Nothobranchius furzeri: one gene and its partners. The protein of the gene in region 5 interacts with the protein of the main gene of each other region in a biochemical or structural test. Links are inferred from orthologs where the notes say so. Each region holds a gene or a part of one and is shown on either strand. Other genes may lie near its edges. The genes, in order: cand1, cdc34b, ube2m, dcun1d4 and cullin-1.

Region 1 (2,499 bases), on a different chromosome or scaffold from region 5:
TGCGGACTTCACCTGAAACACAAGCCCAAAGGCGCTGTCAACGACTCCAAACTGGAAAAGCAACTCGGGGCTTAGATGTGAAGGCAAGTGTGGGGCTACCTCTTCACTGGAGGAGGAGAAAGCATCCAGGATGACGGTCTTGAGCTCAGGCTGGCTGCTCAGGTCCACGTAGTGTCCCACCTCGCCCAGTGAGAGGAGAGCGAGAAGTCTGATGGAGTCTGTGGAGCGGCTGTTCTTCACATCCTGTCAAGAAGAGGAAACTATTTTATATTTCATCCTTGATGCCGTCGTTCTTTAGAGCTCTGGTCTTTAGTGGTTTGGGATCAGGTGACTCACCTGGATGAACTGTCCCACCACAGCAGGACCCTCGGTGGGACAGGCTCTGGTCAGAGCTGCGACACATTTAGCAATGGAGCAGTAAGCCTGTTTGTGAGGCAGAGCGGCGCTTTGGGAGTAAACCGGGCCCGTCAGCATCCTCAGCAGGTCCATGTAGCCCAAACCGGGAGTGTCTGTAGCCACCAGAGCCTGAACAGGAGGAGGCAACACCAGATCAGCCAGCGTGCTGTCATCGTTTTACACAACCACCAGATTTGTTGTCGTTTCAGAAAAAAAGACCGACTGAACCCAAAAGCAGAAAACAATGGGCTGCCCAGGATGTACGGTGAGCAGAGAGCTGCTGGGTTTTATTCGTCTTCAGTTCTGTATCATCTGCTTAGAACAAAAAGGACCAGGATCTCATCCCTGTGGTACACCATCACCCAGTTTTGATTAAGGTCCATGAAAGTGGTGAATTAAATTCAGGGTTAAATGTAGTTTTAGGTCAGGTTCAGTTCCTGACAAAACTGGTTCTAAAGGCTGTAAAGGTTCTGGGTCTAGGCCAGCAGAACACCAAACCCAGTAGGACCCAGTCCACTGGTGTTTCATTTCTTCAGTCACGCCAGGCTTAAAGCAAAGGTGGAACGTCACGTTTGGGCCCCACATGAACGGTTAGGGCGCTGCAACTCCTCACCTTAGAGTTCCACCTTCACAGAAACTCAAATATTTACTGAACTCCGTATTCTGGTGCTGTTCATCTATCACACAGTTTACCTGAAACACGATAAAACTGAACTATCAGGGTGTCTCCACCCACAGTTACAGGTAAACACACGGCAAGTCCGCCACGGGTCGTTACTCCCGTCAGTGAATTACGTCGGGACCTGAGCCGATATTGGATCAGATCAGCTCCATCACAGGTGTTTGGACCCCCGAACTGAGTCCAGTCCGAGTGTGGTGGGGCGGTACCTGGTAGAACTCCAGCATGGCGGCGAGCGCTCCTCCCTGCAGCAGCGGGGATCGAACCAGCGCGATGAGCTGCTGAAGGATGTTCCCTCCGCTCAGCTGGCCCAGCGAGGACGGGTGCGTCACCGCCAGCGTGGACAGGAAGCACAGCGCCATCTGAGACACGTGCATGTCGCTCTCTGAGATCAGAGGCGGCAGCTCAGCCAGGACGGCGTCCACCATGACAGGCGTCACTGCAGAGCTGAGGACCACAGATGAAGAGTGAGAGGGCAGAGCTGCCAGGTGGGCGGGGCTAACCGGTGTGATGGTTACCTGTAGTTTCTCAGCAGGATATCCAGAGCCGCCAGCGTGCAGAGCTTCAGAGCTCGTTGGTTCTTTCTGAGAAAGGAGGCGAGGATGGGAACGGCGTCGGGAAGAACTGGCCTGAGATCGATTTTTAACGGAGAGCCGGCGATCAGCGTCAGCGCTGCAAAGATCCAGACTGAACTTCATCACCAGCTCATCACAGTCTTACTCAAGAGGACAATGTGGGGGGCGGGGCTTACCTTTTACCGTAGTCAGCCGTGTGATCTCATTTTTGAGGCGTTCCAAAAAGATCAGCAGCGTTCCTGGAAGCTCGTTGGGCAGGCGGTCGCCTACATAACAAAATCCATCGGAAAGTTCAAACCCAACTCGAGTCTGACGGCAGGGGACATCACATCTAGGACATGTAGGTGGTGGTTACCTAGGTTGCAGATTATCTGTCCCATACAGGAAATTGCTCGCTCTTTGACCTCCTGGTCGATGTCGGCGGCCTTCAGGCGTCTGATCGTGCAGGTGAAGAGGTCATTGATGTAAGGGGAGGGGTCAAAGCTGTCTGAGCCCTCCGACTGGTTATCCAGAGGTCGGATCACCTGGAAGAGACCCGACAAACAAATAAGCATCAGCTGACAACCAGAGTGAGGGTTGCAGGTTCGACTCCCACCTTGACAAGCTGCTGGGTAACAAGCAGAGCCTCTGAGGTGATCTTGTAGAAGGGGTCTCCCATGCACGCCACCACGGGCGGGACAAGGGCGGGGACGTGGGCGTGGAAGGCATGGGCGGGGTGTGTGACCATGATGACGTGGAGGCAGGACAAGGCGTCGATTTTCAGGTTGGAGCTGCTGGACTTATCGTTCAGAGAGAAGATGATGCCTGAAACCAAACGTGATCCTTGATGAGGTCATCGACGACAACCCA
Region 2 (4,024 bases), on a different chromosome or scaffold from region 5:
GAAAAAAAAATTGGTGGCTGTGCTGGTGCAAAAGTGACCACAGTCTGACCCTCTCGCAACGAGGCATCAGTTTTAACCTCTGAGGCTGAAGGAAAAAAGCTCTTGTACTGATTTAGAAGGAAGCTTCCAATCTCTCTTGGTTGCAAACCAAGAATATCTGGCAACCCAGGAAGAGTTAAAGGATGAGCATTCGTCAGCTAGGTTGGGTTTTCTGACAACAAGAATGTCACGACTCCTCATTGCCCGAGTCATCCTCGTCATAGCAACAGTCGCCGTCTCCCCCCTCCACGTCATCGTCTTCATAGTAATAGTCATAGAAGAGGTCAGAGCCTTCGTCTGGCGGCGGGGCGCGTGTACGAACGCAGTATTCAGCTAGCGTGGTGGGCACCTTCACGCCATCTCGCTCTGCTTCTGCCTTTGTGGCCAGCACCTGTTTCCTGAAGGGATTTGTTTTATGAAGACTGAATTACTTTTGTGTGGATGGTGTGGCTTTGAAAATCTTTTAGAAATATTTGAGGTTTGTCTTAAATAACATTACACTAATGTTTACCTGATGATCTCTACATATTCCCGGTCCTTGCCTTTGCTGTCTCTCCATTTCCGGTACATGACAGAGGCGTCCACGTTGGCAGGGGAGAAGGTGTTGGGTTCATTTAGCAGCGAGATCACGCTCAGCAAAATGGTCCTAGAAGCAAAAAACAAAGGCAACTTAGTATAGAACCATAAGAAAACGACTTTAGGTGAATTAAAAAGTTTTAAACACATAAAAAATATTTTAATGTCACAAGCCTAAATTACTTATTTCATCTACTATTTTATTAGAATAAACAATGAAGCACATATTACATTAGGAACTTAAAGCTAATTGATAAAACATGTATTAAAAAAACCTGTCAGACCCATGTGCTACCACCCTACCAGAATCAGAATCAGAATAGGTTTATTGCCATTTTCAGTGAACAAACAATTCACAAACTAGGAACTTGCTTCGGCACTAATGTGCTACATATAACATGAATAATAAGATTAAAAATAGAATAAAATAGAATAAAATATAATAATTAAAAAAACTAGAATAAAACTTTCAGCTAAAATGGCAGGTAATGGTAACATGGCCGATAACGTGACGTTGTGTCGAGTACAGAAGACCAGCATGGTTGTGTGTTTATAATCTATTCACAAGTCTAACGGCAGATGGAAAGAAGCTGTTCTTATGGCAGGAGGTTCTGGTCCGGATGGACCGTAACCTCCTGCCTGAGGGAAGCGGCTCAAAAAGTCTGTGACCCGGGTGCGAAGGGTCAGCTGTTATCCGGCCTGCACGCCCCCGAGTTCTGGAGACGTACAGGTCCTGGAGAGATGGAGGGCTGCAGCCAATCACCTTCTCAGCAGAGCGCACAATGCGCACTGACAAGCCTTTACATTACATTTATAAAACGTAGCATTGTGAGTAAGGTTTTAGTGAGTCGTTATGGGAAACAGAAAGAAGCTGCTTCTGTTTGTGGCCAAAGGAACAGCCTTTGTGACAGACTTCCTGATCTACAGATCTAATGTGTCTGCAGCAAAAATGCAAATGAGGAAATTAGGTTAGGTTAACGGTATACCACCTGCAACAACAAAAACATAAGAGCTGCACTGCATCAAGTGACCGAAACCACCAGAGCTTACATCTTTGTAACACTGCTGAAGTTGTGTGATTTCGACTACTACAGATCACAGGTTTAATATCACTTGTGAGTGTGACATCGTTGTGGTGGCTTTTACATAGATAGTTTCTTGTTGAATAGAAATCTGGCTCTCAGTTACAGAAAAAGATCAAAGATACATTTTTTTGTGCACAGATTGCATAATGTGAGCCTGACAAATAACCTCAGAAGGAAGTTTATAATAAATAAAGATGCATTTTCTCCCTCTTCTGCAGCAAAATGCTGTCAAACTCATGCGATACACTTATTGTGAGTCACAATGAATTAAGGTACTCAAAGTATGTTTTTCATAGAAATAAACCAACAAAATCTTAGTTTGCATAGTATGATATTATCCAAAGATCAATTTAATTTTGTTTGTAAATAAGAGGAAGATGCAGATCTAGCTTTACTGCTGGCTGCTGCAGCCGGTGAAGAAGATGCTGCTGATAATGAATGTCATAAGATAAGAGTCTGCGCTGGGTGAACCATTGAAGTGATTGCAAAGTGGACAAAGATGGAAGGAGACCAGAAAGGAGAAACGTATAGAGAGAATATGATTAGAAAGAGAAATGCTAACCGAACATTCTGGGTTGGATTCCATCTCTCTGATGGGAGCTCTCCGCTCTGCGGGTCATCCACTGGAGGGTGCAGTATAGAAATACACACATCTCCATTCTACAAGAGGGGAAACAAATACATTCCATCATCAGATGCATTCATTCAAATTAAATACACTGTTATGAGTACACACACGTCAATATTTAACCTCATAGATGTTGGGATGCCACATTTTGGTTAGGAAGCGGAAAGCAGGAGGGGAGTAAGGATAATCTGTAGGAAACTTGATCCTTGCCTAGGGGGGAAAATGGGGACATCTTGTTATTTTTTAAACTACGGTCATTTCTTATATGTCATCTGATTTTAATTACAACCTTACCTTGAAATATCCCCCTTCATAATGAGTGTTTGGTGGACCAAAAATGGCGACTTCCCAGTTGTATAAATCAGCCTCGTCCACCAGAGTGATTTTAAATCCCTCCACAGGCTCTTCCTGGAGGCTCTTCATTTCCAACATGAGAGCTTTCTGCGAACTAGCTACATGAGAAGGGTCGTGTTGCGCCATAATGATTTATGAAGCTTTCAGGATTATCTGGAGGCGACAGCTTTTGTTTACACGGCTAAGCTAGCCAAGCCAGCAAACAGCACAACTTCTCCTTTTTCGATGTTCGGAGGCAAAGAAAACAGGCCGACCGCGCGTAAAAGCAAAACAAAGACTGCGGTTGGTCTGTTCCCAAATTAAACGTTATTAATGTCAAAACTCAGTAATGTTATAAACGAGAAACACATTGTGTCTGAGAGGCTCAACAGCTTTGGCTGATTTACCTGGCAGAGCAGCAGCTGATATAAGCCTTAAATCTACTGTTAGCTAAGGAAAGCTAACAAGCTCCGTCTAATTGACCAGCTGGAGCGACGTAATTACCGCAAAAACACAAAATAACTACATAAAATGGCAATTTGAAAAGACAAACGCAAAAAGTCATGTGACACTACGCCAAACTATACCTCCAGTAACCATAATTGTTTAGCCCTCATAGAAAGCTGCGAAAGGAAATGTGTTGCTGAAAGAGTCCCCTGGTAAAAACAGGTAATGGCGCCCTGTTGTTGGCTGGGACTGGTAGTCTTTCATTCCGCGTTTGTTAGATTAAAAAAACGTGAAACCAAAATAACTGAAAACCCTGGTATAATATAATTCCTGTTCTTTTTATTTATGATGTTTTTATTTTTATTTTAAATGCCCAAAAAGAAAAATAAGTTTGTTTGTGCTTGCATTTTCCTGTTAAACTGTTTAAATACGGTAGCGGTTACTATGGACGAAATATCTATGACATCAATAATAGTATTTTATCACCGACATAACTAAATTGTAAGAAAAACAATCCTGCGTTCATTTGTGGCTAATTTGTAGTTTATTAAGTGGCTGTGACGTTTTAATCTGCGCCAGTGCTCAGGAAAGCCCATTTAGGCTAGCTTTTCTTTGCCTTACTAAATACATTTGGATTTTTTATAAAAGAAATCTGACACGTAATTTTTTCTGTCATAGCACACGTTAGAGTATGCGAACATTAAACATAGACATATGTTTTTATTAGTGCGATTGTAAACGTTATTATAATCAACAGTGTTTCGTCAATGCCTCCTATTTACGCGACAGACTGCATTTAGGGCCCCGAAAAGAAGAAAGTTCGTGATGGGTTCGAAAACACGGCGTAGGTCTCGTTCCAGGTCCATAAGTCGGGGCAGAGATCACCGAAACAAGTCCAGAGTAAACAGGTCGCGAT
Region 3 (4,046 bases), on a different chromosome or scaffold from region 5:
TGACAACAAACCACAGACCTAATCTTTATCTCACACACACACACACGCACACACACACACACACACACACACACACACACACACACACACACACACACACACACACACACACCTCGTCTGGTGAGATGATGAGTCTGAAGTTGAGGAGGTCATCATCATCTGGAAAGCTGATCTCACACGTCTTTGGCAAATTCAACTCATTGATGTCTGAAACACAAACAGATCATTTTAATTATAATTAACTGGATCAGCACCAACAGAACACTTTGAACACAAAAACAGACCACATGCACGTGACTGGTTTGGACAGCCGTTTATTTAACATGATATCTTAAAAACCAGAGTTCCAACTTCAGAGACAACACAGGAATTACAGGGTGACCTAAACTTGTGTGTTTTTGGGCATTACCAAGTCAGACGTCTGAGAGGGCAGCTGAAGAACATGGCTGAACTCCAGAGACCTCTATGAACGTGTTGTGTAGAAATGACTGAGGTGTCAGTAAGATGATGTACAAAACAACTTTCGACTGATTAAACAAACAAGAATCTCTAGTTGATTTACATTCCAACCCTCACATATGGTCGTGGTAAAGAATGACAAAACAAGATCATAACAGGCTGCCAAAATGAAATTTACACAGTGAGGAGTTCAGACATTCAAGGAGGACTGAGTAGAACCGCTGCTTCTTCTCATCCAGAGATGCCAGCTGAGATAGCTCAGACTCGGGAATAGACATAACCATGTTGGACGATAGGCTGGCTCATTTAATACAAGGACTTTAGTTGAGTAGAATGTGGCAGCAGGAGGTTGACATCAGCAAATATCCAAACAATGCCTTGGGGTCCCATCAAAGGAGCTAATGATATAGGCTGGGATGGAGACAGTATGGGTAAATGCTTTAACTACTTCTATAGCCTGTTCCAATAAATAAATAAATAAATGCTCCACTTGCAAAAAGTGCCGCAAAGGGAGCATTTGATCATTCATAAGTGGTCAGCCTGTGGCCATAATGGGGTGCAATCATGTTTTTCACAAAAGATCACATGGTTGCTGTATAACAGGGGTGCTGGGTGATCTCTGTGTCATCATGGACATCCTTTTAACTTGGACATAACTTGTTTTTATCTCTTTTGAAGCCACAGTCCTTAAGTTTTTTTTGTGAGCCACCCCAAAAGGGGAACTGTCCTGTGATCAGATCTTCAATTCTAACAGCCAGGATCTTCTGGATATCTGCACCACGCCAGTTTGCCATCTCCGCTGACACTGTTTGCAAACACGACAGGGACTCCCCATGTTAACTTGCATTTGGAAAATTATTGCCAACCAGGGCTTAGTGGACATTTCATCCATGACCATGGCATCCCCCTCTGTTGCAAGAAGTCATGAACTTCATTCAAAAGTCCAATGTTGCAATAATAGTACAATCAGGTTTCACGGAACGAACTACGCAATATTCTCATCTCGTCAAGCCACCATGGTGCATTCCAAAGAACCACGTGGCGGCAGTATTACCCTGACGTGCTGCTCCAGTGTGTGTTTTGAACCCGGCTCATGCGTCTTTCTAAGCAACGCACTGTCCAGTAATATCACACCTTGGGTCTCTTCTTTGTTCTCCATTTTGCCTTTGCCATCTACTTTTAAACTCTTCAGGGACTTAGGGGTCTAGTTTCAAAAACTAGCCTTTCACAGTGTTTGTAAACAATGCCTCAGTTGCCATGCTACTGCATCATATAGGTGCCTGAAACCCTGAGGCCAGAACAGCACCCTCATAGGCGTGTATTTGAGTGCGTTATCAAAAGTGTAAGCAGTTTAACAGTCATAATGGACAGATGTTAACCCTACCTGCCAGTTTGGTGAGATGATTTCTTGTTGAGGAACCATTTCAATTTCTCACCACCTGACAGGACCAACTAGGTGTCTAACACCTGGGGGACAGGGGCACCTGCGGGTGTTTGACATGACGAGCTCAGTGTGAGCTGGTTTAAGGACAGGAACCAGGCAGGGGGGTGTTTCAGCTCCACTTTAAATGAACGACATACACTTTGACCTGGGCTATCTGACCACCAGTCAGTCACACCTGAAGTTTGTGACAGAGGGCTGACACAGCAAGTTAGCTTGTCCAAAGCTCCCACCAACGCGTAAAACCCGACTAGAAAACAGTGTTTGTGTGGGCTGTTAATGAGGTATGCGTAATAAACATGTGTCTTATATCCTAACGATTGTGTTCTGATAAGGTGGCCCCAAATCGTTACGGAGTTGGAGCGTCTCTGTTTTGTTTTCAAATACAGCAGCAGCAGCTAGCCGTTGTTAGCTTCTGAATAGCCTGCTACCAGTTAGCTGGCCTGAGTTCACGGCTACCGGGCACTAAACGGCTGTGTCCCCCGGTAGTTTGCCAGTAACCGGACAGTCGGGAAGCAGGAAAGACTGGCAGGGGTGCTGAGAGGGTGGTGAGGTGGGAAACCAGCCTACCTTTCTGTATTCGAAGCTGGGCCGCGCTGGCTTTTTTGCCCCCGGCTCCGGCTCTGTTTCCTCCAGCAGATTCCTCGTCTTTCTTCTGCTGCTTCAGGGAGAACAGCTTAATCATCTTCACTTGTTCGATAATCGGAGGCCTAAACTCTTGAGTCCCTTTAGTGTGCGAACTCCCCGTGTGTCCTGAGTGTTAACAGAGCCAAATGAGCCCGAACTGCACCGTAATGTGGATGGAGCCGGTGCGTCTCAACTAATCACACCGAGCTAACCTAGCTGTTAGCCCGCAGGAGAGGCCGGGTGGGGAGGAGGGTGCAGACGTCGCATGGATTGGTACGTCACTAATTGCGCCATATTGGAGAGGTAAACTGGTAAGGACTGTCACGTGACTAATAGGCAAGCCTGAGGCCAACCTTGATAGCAGAAGGGTCATAGTTAGAAAAGCCATAGTTATTATTGTTTTTAATATAATTTCGTTATTTAATATCTATAATTATTGCACACTTTAATTGAATTTATATTCAGGATCTATTTTTTTAACAAAATACATTAAGAAAAAACTACATATGCCAGTAGACTAGCCGTGATGTCATCACGCAAAAGGCGGGGCCAAGGTATATTGCCTGCCCATATTTTATTCACTAGGTTTATTTTATTTTATTCCTTACAGACCGGTGTAAAGATGCACACCGTAAGGTCACCTGCGTGATATGATGAATGCGCTGGTGAAAGACATGTCATGGTTGAGTGGCATTAATGATAATCCAGATCACGCACATCACGCAAACAACCGCTGCACAATAGACACGAGAACAAAAGCCGCGCGCTGCGTTTTGCTCATATTCATGTTAATGCGCGGGGACTAGTTCTTGCGGAGGGTTACACGTGCGCGTAGATGTTAGTGAGAACGAACCCTTTGCGTGTTGTTGTGTGCAGTTGTGTGTGTGTTTTTGTATGTGTTTGTGTTTTTGAAGCCTCGCGGGAGGAAGAGGAGCAGAACGTGCTGAGGGGAGAGTGAGGCAGTCTCACACTGCAGACAGAGGGACAGAGAGGGGAGTGAATGGGCACGACTCAGTCAGCATCACTGTGCCCTTCACTGTATCCTAATCGATCGGTTCGGCTATCGAGACATTTCGACCCTGCACGGGTCCGTTAAGGCTGGCCCGGCCTGGGAGCTCGCCGGAGCAATGGGACGCGAATGAAGCAGCCCGAAGCGAACAGCAGCAGCCCGGCGGAGGAACAAACAAGGAAGCGCTTAGCTGAAGCTAACGGCTCGCTAATATTGATTCTGATGAGTGAACGAGGACCATGCGAGCTGAAAGGAAGAGGTGAGAGGGCGCTGTGTGTGTGCGTGCGTGCGTGTGCGTGCGTTTTCAGCTCAGTCAGTGTAATTCCTCTCCACCTGCCTAATTTACTGTTCATTATCACTGGATACTAAAAGAGGAAGCAACCGCAGGGGGCGGACAGTCTACTAGCCTGCTAACACATTAGCACGGTTGTCATTAGCTTTTCCGCCAGGTGTGGGGGCGACGGGAGGGATGTTATGTCATTACAGGTGCGTGATTGGTTAATTATCACA
Region 4 (4,302 bases), on a different chromosome or scaffold from region 5:
CATCTCTGTTATTTATATATAGAAACACATTCAAAATGGTCAAAATATTCCTTTAAAGGCCCCAAGAAGAAACAACATAATCAACAAGTAATACATCTTTCAAAAATAAAAAATAAAGGCAAAAAATGGGTTCAGCAAAAAGGTTTGACCAGACATGGTTCCTGGGACGGGCACAGTAATCAAGAGGGCCAGATGACCTGAAAGTCTCTCTGTAAGCAAGCACTAGTGGTGTGGTGATATTTTAGAATGGCCATAAGTAGCCAGGGATGTGTAATGGAGCAACTTTTGACCTTTAGGGTGTGTTGAATACCTGCAGTGGGTTTCGTGAGACCTGCTAGAACCCACTGAGGTAGCTATGATGAGACAACCACGAGTCGGGGACCATAGAACAGCAGCTGTTGCCAAGTTAACCGGATTCTCTTTACCTGCTTTTAGGACGTGAAAACAGATTGCGCTGCACATCAGATCTGTGTATATTTGTGTTTTAGGGATGCAAATTTGTTGAGTTATGTCAACAGATTTCAGATTGTAAAAGCATTAATGTGTATGCAAATGCTGACCGTATGTTGCTATGACTAAAATTCCTGTTTCAGTGTCACTGAGACAGTGTGATGGGCAGCCAAAGGAGGAAATAGAATAAACTAAGATCATGCAAATGGAACCAAACCAAAACCTTGTCCAGTAGTGAACAAGTCTAAATAAAATCTGCTCACGTTTTCAGGCTCCACTCCGATGTCCTCACAGAACTTCTCTATGCCCTCTGGACCCACCACATCGTCACAACCTAGGTGAGCCGAGCAGCATCACACAGCATTAACTCAGCTACAAACACAAAGATCAGTGACTAAACCAAAATGTGTGATGACTGCTCACCTGCATATTCATAAAACCACTCCAAACATCTTTTACTAGAAAACGTCTCCTCCTCCCGGATTTGCGATGTTTCATGTTTTCTGAAAACACTGTAGATAATGAGACGATGTCAGCCGTGAGCTAAGCAGCAAAACTACAGAAGCATATTTGTGTCCATGTTTATTTTAATAAGCCACAACAATCAAGTTTCCTGAAAACCCTCCTGTCACCTCTCTTGGCGACTTTTCTTGGCTGACATGTCATCTCCAGCAGAAGGTCTCCTCTTTTTCCTAGGTGGCATGGCTCTTGAGTAGCAAGCTGTCAAAATAATTCACAGCAGATCAGTATCAGCAGAACTAGCGTGCAAACTGCATGAAGAACAGAAAACACACGTAAGGATTTTACCTGACGGGTGGCTATCCTGTCCAACGTCTTCAGCCAGATTCTAACAAATAAAAGCATGTGAATAAAAAAAGAAACATTCACTTCACACAAATAATCAGCCTTCTGTTAGATAGTTACCAGCCTGTGTAAGGTGTGGTGAATCTTGTGGATGCTGGCCAGTGTAGTCAAATGAGAATTCAGCTGAAAATCTATCCACAAAAACATTTAAATGACATTTTAGAAAAATCCAAATAAGGCTTCATTTATAACTTAATACTCGACCTAATCATGTAAGGTTATGAAGAGGTGACGTCAACAACGCTAATAATGGAGACTTGAATCCTACGTTGCCTATGAACACAACATTACCATTTAACCCACACATATGATGTGTTTAGGGCTTTAAAATGGCAGAAAAAGACCCTCACGATTGACTCCCTGTGCTACTGAAAGGACAGGACTAAAACGCTAATATATTCGATTATGGCGGCTACCTTGTGAGTAAAAGCCGGGTGTGTGTTGCTGTTTAGTACAGAATTATCACTAGAGGCAAAACTCAGAGAAACGGCAGAGATAAACGAACGGATAGCACTAGCTGCATACCAAAAATAGCAGTAGACGAGCAACTTGCAGAGTTTACAAAGTATCCAGAGAGTCGGGCGTCTGGATGTTGTAGTTCTTTTCCTTTATAGTGGTCGTTAGAAGCTAAGCTTTGCTTGGGTTAATAAACTACAATACCCACGTCTCTACAAAACAACTCTTTCTTTCAGACTCATCTCCCCCCAACATGTACCTTTTCCGACTGAATACATTTTACATTGATTAATAAATGTAATGCGACATGGTCACTGACAGGAAAGCACTGTGGTGACGTTTTACAGAAGCTAACGTGGGCTATGAAAAAATTGCTAGCACTGTTGCAGCAAGCAACGAAAGATGTTTTACACAACTGCGTCACAATTTTCCTTCTCTCTTACAGTCCGCAGCTGACCCGAAAATTGGCCGAATCACGCCGAATTACAAGTTTGAGTTTAAATATTATGTGCGCCACGAGTAACGAGGAATAGGAACGCCACAACGCACCGACTGCAATCGAAAATCCTCTGAACTTAAGCAGCGTCGGTGGAATTTAACCTAAAACAGCAGCACAACCCGAAAATAATTACCAGAAATAAACTTATCGTGTCTCAGCAAACGTTTACAACTGAAAATAGCTATAATTACTGTAGCCATCCTTCCTTTGTTGTCGACCCAGACAGCACTGGCAAATACAAAGAGACTAGCAAATAAGACAGGATTCATGCGTTCCCATGAAACCTGACAGACACACGGGACAAAGGCGGATGTAGAAACACAACGCGTCCGTTTTTTCTGTCTGATACGCGCACCAACAACGAGAAAGGTCGCAATTTGATGCAGAAACGTTCTCACTTACTTGCCGCATCAGAGTGCATTTTTATGAAACATACAACTGTCTGTGGGAAGTCCGTAGACCGGCCAATAGGCGGGCCTTGTTAGCGTAAAGGACGCCCGTACGCAGTAACTGAAATTCGGCTTGAAGTCTCTGCCCTTGCTCGCTTTCTATTGGCTAATAAATATGTCCTTTCTGGAAGGGGCGGGAAAAACAGACAGGAGAACGCCTATTTACTAATCGGATTGGTCAGAGCTCCTCCAATGGGCCGTGCTACGTGTACGTCAATCACTAGAATTTCCTCGTGCAAGCCTAAAGCCGGCCCACGATGAGACCTGATTGGTCGTTCAGGTGTTCACTGTTTTATATGGGTTAGGTTGATAAGTGTTATGGTTAGTAAAATAATTAGTAATTCGTAGTTTTGTTTTGTTTTCCCACTAGGTTCACACTTACTTTCCTTATTCAAACAAAGTGAGCACACATGCAAATAAATTATATTGGATCACTAAAACAGATAATATGACATTTTGAAATATTTAAATCAACAATTTTTTTGGCCTATGTCGGCAAGCACAAAGGCTGAGAAGAAATGAGTTTTAATCTGTTTTCAGCGTGATCAAGCCCAACACCTGTACGTTAATGGTGTGTTCACCTTTGGATCTTCATGGTAAGATGGGTTAGGTAGTCACTGTTTGTTCAAGGCGATTGTATTGTTGTTATTAGCAGCTGATATGTTTTATTACCACATGGAAGATCATAAAAACTGGTCTAATACAGAGAAAATATGAGCAGCTTTCTCAACCAAAAAGTAGTTTCTCTAAAATTACTAGTGTTTCTATTTTGTTTTGTCTTTTAATTAACATCTTGCTATTAAAGTGACTTGTTTGTAATTTATGCTGAGTAACACACTGCCTGTTCAAAGAAAAGTCACCACCTGGATTTAATTAAAGCAAATAGACATGACCTGCTGGGCCTGACTCCAGTCTTTGACACTGTTGACCATCACCAGGTACTGAATAGGCTGAGAGACTGGTCTATCAGGATGTGCTCTGGAGTGGTTCTCCTCATATTTGTCTATTCCTTCTTTGTGGCTATCTCCAAGTTTAGGTCCTCCACCACCTTCTCCACACACGGTGTACCACAAGGTTCTGTGCTGGGGCCCCTACTGTTCCTCCTCTGTCTGCTTCCTCTTCAGCACATACTGAGCTTCTTCAAAGGAATCTCCTACCATCTTTACACAGATGACATCCAACTGTACATCTCCTTTAAGCCCCATGAGATGTCTAAGCTTGGTGCAGCAGTAGCTCATCAGGTAGAGCGGGTTGTCCAGTAAACTCCTGAAGACCCTGCTCTTCAGAGAGCATCTTCTTAACTAGCACCTTGCCTGCACCCGTCCCCCCTCTCTACTGTCCACTACTTGTTCCCTCCTCTCCATGACTGATGTTAATGTTGTTGTTGTTATTGTTATTGTTAGCCTCAAGGGCAAAATGCCGATTATCACTTGTATGTCGCTTTGGACAAAAGCGTCTGCTAAATACATAAACATAAACATAATCGGAAGGCTGCAGATTCGATCCCGGCTCCGGACAGAGAATGCTGCTGTTGTCTCCTTGGGCAAGACACTTAACCCACCTTGCCTGCTGGTGGTGATCGGA
Region 5 (4,068 bases):
TCATGTGGCCTAATGTGAGTCTATTTGGGATCATTGGAATGATCAGCAGCATTTCTTGATGTGACTTTATGGCAGTTGCCCAGGGCATCATCACAAGTAGGATGGCATTCATTTACTTTTGTTTTATTTGGTATTTTTTCAGTCATTTTTGGAAATAGTGATCAATTTTGATAAATTCACAGCCTATGTTTAATTACATTTAAAATAAATGTCAACAGATGAGATCAAACAAAACAGATGAGAATTGCCCTTAAGCTGTTTAACTTGGACCAAGCATTTTAGGTCACAGATAGATGTAGCTTAGGGTCTCTGTCTATACACCTTATAAGACAATTTAGGTGATGGCATGTTATTTTTCTGCTATTGAACTGTTTTCTAATAATGTTGTGTTAAATAAAGTGAAGGAAGGAGAGAAATAACGTTTCCCTAGCAGTTTTTAAAAATTTCCCCATGTAATCCGATTAATCGTGTCGAGACCCCATCCGATTAATCGATTATCCAAATAATCGTTTGTTGCAGCCCTAGTTTATTTATTTATTTATTTTTGCCGCTGGTGGCAGCTCTGTCTCGGCCAAGGACTCTGGCTGCGCAGCAGCTGACGTACTGAAAACCAAAGTGCTCCCAAAGGAGCGAAGTAACGTTTTGCTTTGATACCAGTGCAGCCATCCTTCTCAACATGCATCATTGAGTTGAACCAAGTTCAGTAATCGCGGTGGCCCATGATGCAGCGCGGTGGGCTTCTTCATATCGCGATATTTCATTTTTGCGGTTACCGTGACAGCCCTACTACTGTGTAGGTACTAATCAGAGCAGATCAGCTCAGGTACAAACAACATCATGTCAGGTGACTGGAACCACACCACGGGAGTGGGTAACCCTAGGATTGTCGTTCACGAGTCCAACAGCAGACGGGAAGAAGCTGTTCTTATGGCCAGAGGTTCTGGTCCGAACGGATCTGATCTGATTCTCTCCTCTCTGGTGCATTGAGTGAGATTAAAGCTCACACACACATAGTAGTCCGTCCCAGACCCTGGTCCAGATCTGCCCCAATCCAGGTCTCTGCAGAAGACCTAATGTTCTCTCCAGGAACTCAGTTTAAAGTGTTTACCAGTTTTTCATTAACACAGATTATAATCCTGGGATTAGAAGAACCTCAACCAGCTTGTGTGTCTGTAGGAACCATCTGAGACCAGATCCGGAACCAAACTGGACTGAATGTAAAACCTTAAATGATCATTAAATTAAATAAAAACAAGGATTAAAGCTCCTTAGAGAATAAAAGTTAATCTATGCCTCACCTCCTATTTATTAAATGTTTATCAGCTATCATCATCATTATTAAAGTGGGCGGATCTTTATGAATAAAGGTTGTTCTTCTGTATAAGTAAAGTTTAGTCCACTTTAGTATGAAAGCTGTGGCGTCAGTACAGAAGGTGTTTTTATCCAAAGTCCCTGCTGTCAACAAAACTAACCAGGGGTTCCTGGCACAGAATTCCTGCTGGGAACAGTGGGATTAGGGAAACTAGTTTAAACTGCAGTTTTAAATCTAAGAGAAATAAATAAAAATTTCTTATTGTGGCGGCTGAACATCAAAGACAAGTTCTGGATTATTCCGATGAAATAATCTCTCAAAAACACAGGTGTGGTGGTTTAATCTGTGCCTTGGTTGTCTTGCTGTTACTGGTTACATCTAATCACTTAACAAACCTTAACAAATAAATAAATTCTGATTTTTTCTCATTTTAAACAGATATGAAAGGTGACAGAAAACCAAGCTTTTACTTTGAAGGAAAAACGAACCAATCACAAATACTGATAACCACTTATTTTAAAGCCATTTCCTTGTTTTGTTTATTTGTATTTTGACGCATCTTGTGTGATCGCTGACTCTTCATCAGAAACTCCACAACATTTAAATAAAAACAAATATAACCCATGGATAGTTCTTCGTTTATAGACTACACAGAAAAATCCACCAGATTATTAAGAACTATTGGAAAGATTGTGTTCGAGTCAGATTGATCTCTAGGTTGTATTTTTTGGTGTAACGTGTAAGAGCAGCGATCATTTGTGGAACAAAAATAATAAACCAAATCATCATTCCAAGCCTCCTCTGCTCTCCGGGATAGAAAATGTGGGATTTAAGATTTTCCAGGTTCTCCAGAAACATCCAGTCTCTTGTAGCCAGAGGGCCAGGGCTTCTCTTCGGATTAAATCTACTTCCCTGACACTCTTTTGTCACATGAAGCTCAAACCAACATTAAGTTTTAGGTTTTATGAGACTATTGTTGGGATTTCATCTCACCAGGCTGGCGTTCGACGCTGCTACGCAACTGCGAAGTCTTAGCTTTTTCAGATAGCCACCTAGCACAGCTGCCTGGCCGTTGGGTGGACGAGCTTTTAATCCAACTACAGCGTTTGTTTCCGTCCCAAAACTGGTTAAGGTAAAGCGTTAGTACCCGGGAGCATTATTAAAGACCGGCACCGTCGCCGCCGAGCCAACAGCAGCGCCCAGGACTCTCTAGCTGCCTGCTGTAAAATGGCTTCTGTTCGATAATGAGTCAGGAAAACAGTTCGCTAGCCGTTTAGCATTAGCCAGCTAGACCTCCAGCTAAGCTCCGTACAAAAGATCCACCCAGCGAACAATCGCAGCCCTTAAACGTCTTCTTACCATTCTTAGTTCGTTGTGGGGATCGTGTAATCGCTGGAAAGGTGTTTTAATCGCGTCCAGGCTCGGTATCCTCCGCTGTGTTCCGCCGAACGGAGCTCCTGCTGGCCGTGGCTAACTGCGATCGTTTCGCTGCTCCTCACAAAGATCAGAACAAGGATGCGTTCAGGGTCCGTCGGAAAATCAGCTTGCGTGATGAAATCTCACGAATACGCTTAGAATGACACATTACAGTATGCCCAAAATAATTGTGTCAACATTCTCTTTCATTAACACTATTATTCTATATCTTATTTTACTTTCTTAATATCTATATTTTACTTTACTTGCTGAATTACTCTGAAAAAGAAAGAAACCGAAACCTATTTAATAATGTTTTATTAATATTATTAATTGCACAAGAAAATAATCAAGTGACAAATAAAGGCGAGCTCTACTGGTTTGATGTTTTACAAACACACTCACGCACGCACGCGCACGCACACACGCTTGTTTTTATGTTTGTGTGGCCCTTCATTGACACCCTGCTCCATGTTAGTTACTCCACTATGCCTACCCATACCCTATCCCTAACTAATGCCATACCTCTAAAAACAAGTTTTAGGGTGCTCCACATTGTGTGGACCAGCAAAAAATCCCCACAATGTAAAAATGTCTACACAGTACAGGTTATAGTTCAAATTTGTCCACTTAAACCTATAAAGACAAGTATATACACACACACACACACACACACACACACACACACACACACACACAAACCACCACCAAAAAACATCAATTTTAGTTGTCTTTCAAAATAAAAGGAACCCATTCATTTTGTAGGTTAGAGACAACAGATTGCCCAATTTGGAGAACAATTTGATTTTACGAATTAAAACGGGTTAAATTTCTTCTTTTTAAACATTTTAATGAATTCAAACAGGCCAACGCAGCGGGCAAGCGCATCTTTATGATTTCGCAGCTCAAAATCTTTCACTGAATGCATCATCTGCATCCCGCAGAAAGGTCTACTGTTGAAAACTACAATTATGGTTGCGGGTGATACCTGTGGGGCATGCGCAGTTCAGTCCTTTGAGGCGATATTTGAATTATTTATGCCAGAGAAGCACGACTCTGACATTTCATCAGTTTATTTTAACTTGTTTTTATATACGCGAGACAAAATACCCGAGCAGTAACATTAAAATAATCAGAATGATCACGCGCGCACACACAGAACCAAATGTTCTCCACCAGTGGTTTCTCTATTCCACCAGCAGAGGGCCATCTGCTGGTGGATCAGGGAACTGCATCAGAACAGCGGATTCTAACCTGATTCAAACCGATCATCAAACACGAAAATGGCTCCTACTCAGTTTCATAGAGATGGAGCTAAAATGTAATATTTCAGTAACTAA

The links.
Region 1: the proteins of cullin-1 (region 5) and cand1 form a complex in vitro, tested with the Homo sapiens proteins (6 studies listed by BioGRID and IntAct). The link is inferred for Nothobranchius furzeri from reciprocal best matches to the Homo sapiens genes CUL1 and CAND1.
Region 2: the proteins of cullin-1 (region 5) and cdc34b form a complex in vitro, tested with the Homo sapiens proteins (3 studies listed by BioGRID). The link is inferred for Nothobranchius furzeri from reciprocal best matches to the Homo sapiens genes CUL1 and CDC34.
Region 3: of the proteins of cullin-1 (region 5) and ube2m, one has a biochemical effect on the other in vitro, tested with the Homo sapiens proteins (7 studies listed by BioGRID). The link is inferred for Nothobranchius furzeri from reciprocal best matches to the Homo sapiens genes CUL1 and UBE2M.
Region 4: the proteins of cullin-1 (region 5) and dcun1d4 are reported together in a solved structure, tested with the Homo sapiens proteins (2 studies listed by BioGRID, with this or other methods). The link is inferred for Nothobranchius furzeri from reciprocal best matches to the Homo sapiens genes CUL1 and DCUN1D4.

Annotation. Positions count from the first base shown.
Region 1 is NC_091741.1:34,353,753-34,356,251, reverse strand, and holds part of cand1 (cullin-associated NEDD8-dissociated protein 1), read right to left. Parts: intron 2,455-2,499; coding exon 2,246-2,454; intron 2,175-2,245; coding exon 2,006-2,174; intron 1,917-2,005; coding exon 1,827-1,916; intron 1,748-1,826; coding exon 1,594-1,747; intron 1,523-1,593; coding exon 1,285-1,522; intron 526-1,284; coding exon 337-525; intron 244-336; coding exon 100-243; intron 13-99; coding exon 1-12. UniProt on the Homo sapiens protein: Key assembly factor of SCF (SKP1-CUL1-F-box protein) E3 ubiquitin ligase complexes that promotes the exchange of the substrate-recognition F-box subunit in SCF complexes, thereby playing a key role in the cellular repertoire of SCF complexes.
Region 2 is NC_091751.1:57,908,621-57,912,644, reverse strand, and holds the start of cdc34b (cell division cycle 34 homolog (S. cerevisiae) b), read right to left. Parts: upstream 2,809-4,024; coding exon 2,623-2,808; intron 2,539-2,622; coding exon 2,452-2,538; intron 2,361-2,451; coding exon 2,263-2,360; intron 686-2,262; coding exon 551-685; intron 438-550; coding exon 227-437; 3' UTR 1-226. Other genes in the region: splicing factor Cactin, read left to right, coding at 3,934-4,024. UniProt on the Homo sapiens protein: E2 ubiquitin-conjugating enzyme that accepts ubiquitin from an E1 ubiquitin-activating protein, and catalyzes its covalent attachment to other proteins by an E3 ubiquitin-protein ligase complex. In vitro catalyzes 'Lys-48'-linked polyubiquitination.
Region 3 is NC_091745.1:29,824,509-29,828,554, reverse strand, and holds the start of ube2m (NEDD8-conjugating enzyme Ubc12), read right to left. Parts: upstream 2,801-4,046; 5' UTR 2,586-2,800; coding exon 2,471-2,585; intron 208-2,470; coding exon 113-207; intron 1-112.
Region 4 is NC_091748.1:39,454,340-39,458,641, reverse strand, and holds the start of dcun1d4 (DCN1-like protein 4), read right to left. Parts: upstream 2,807-4,302; 5' UTR 2,691-2,806; coding exon 2,672-2,690; intron 1,750-2,671; exon of another isoform or gene 1,731-1,749; intron 1,446-1,730; coding exon 1,375-1,445; intron 1,298-1,374; coding exon 1,258-1,297; intron 1,171-1,257; coding exon 1,083-1,170; intron 963-1,082; coding exon 874-962; intron 785-873; coding exon 714-784; intron 1-713. UniProt on the Homo sapiens protein: Contributes to the neddylation of all cullins by transferring NEDD8 from N-terminally acetylated NEDD8-conjugating E2s enzyme to different cullin C-terminal domain-RBX complexes which are necessary for the activation of cullin-RING E3 ubiquitin ligases (CRLs).
Region 5 is NC_091747.1:63,530,918-63,534,985, reverse strand, and holds the start of cullin-1, read right to left. Parts: upstream 2,811-4,068; 5' UTR 2,672-2,810; intron 1-2,671. UniProt on the Homo sapiens protein: Core component of multiple cullin-RING-based SCF (SKP1-CUL1-F-box protein) E3 ubiquitin-protein ligase complexes, which mediate the ubiquitination of proteins involved in cell cycle progression, signal transduction and transcription.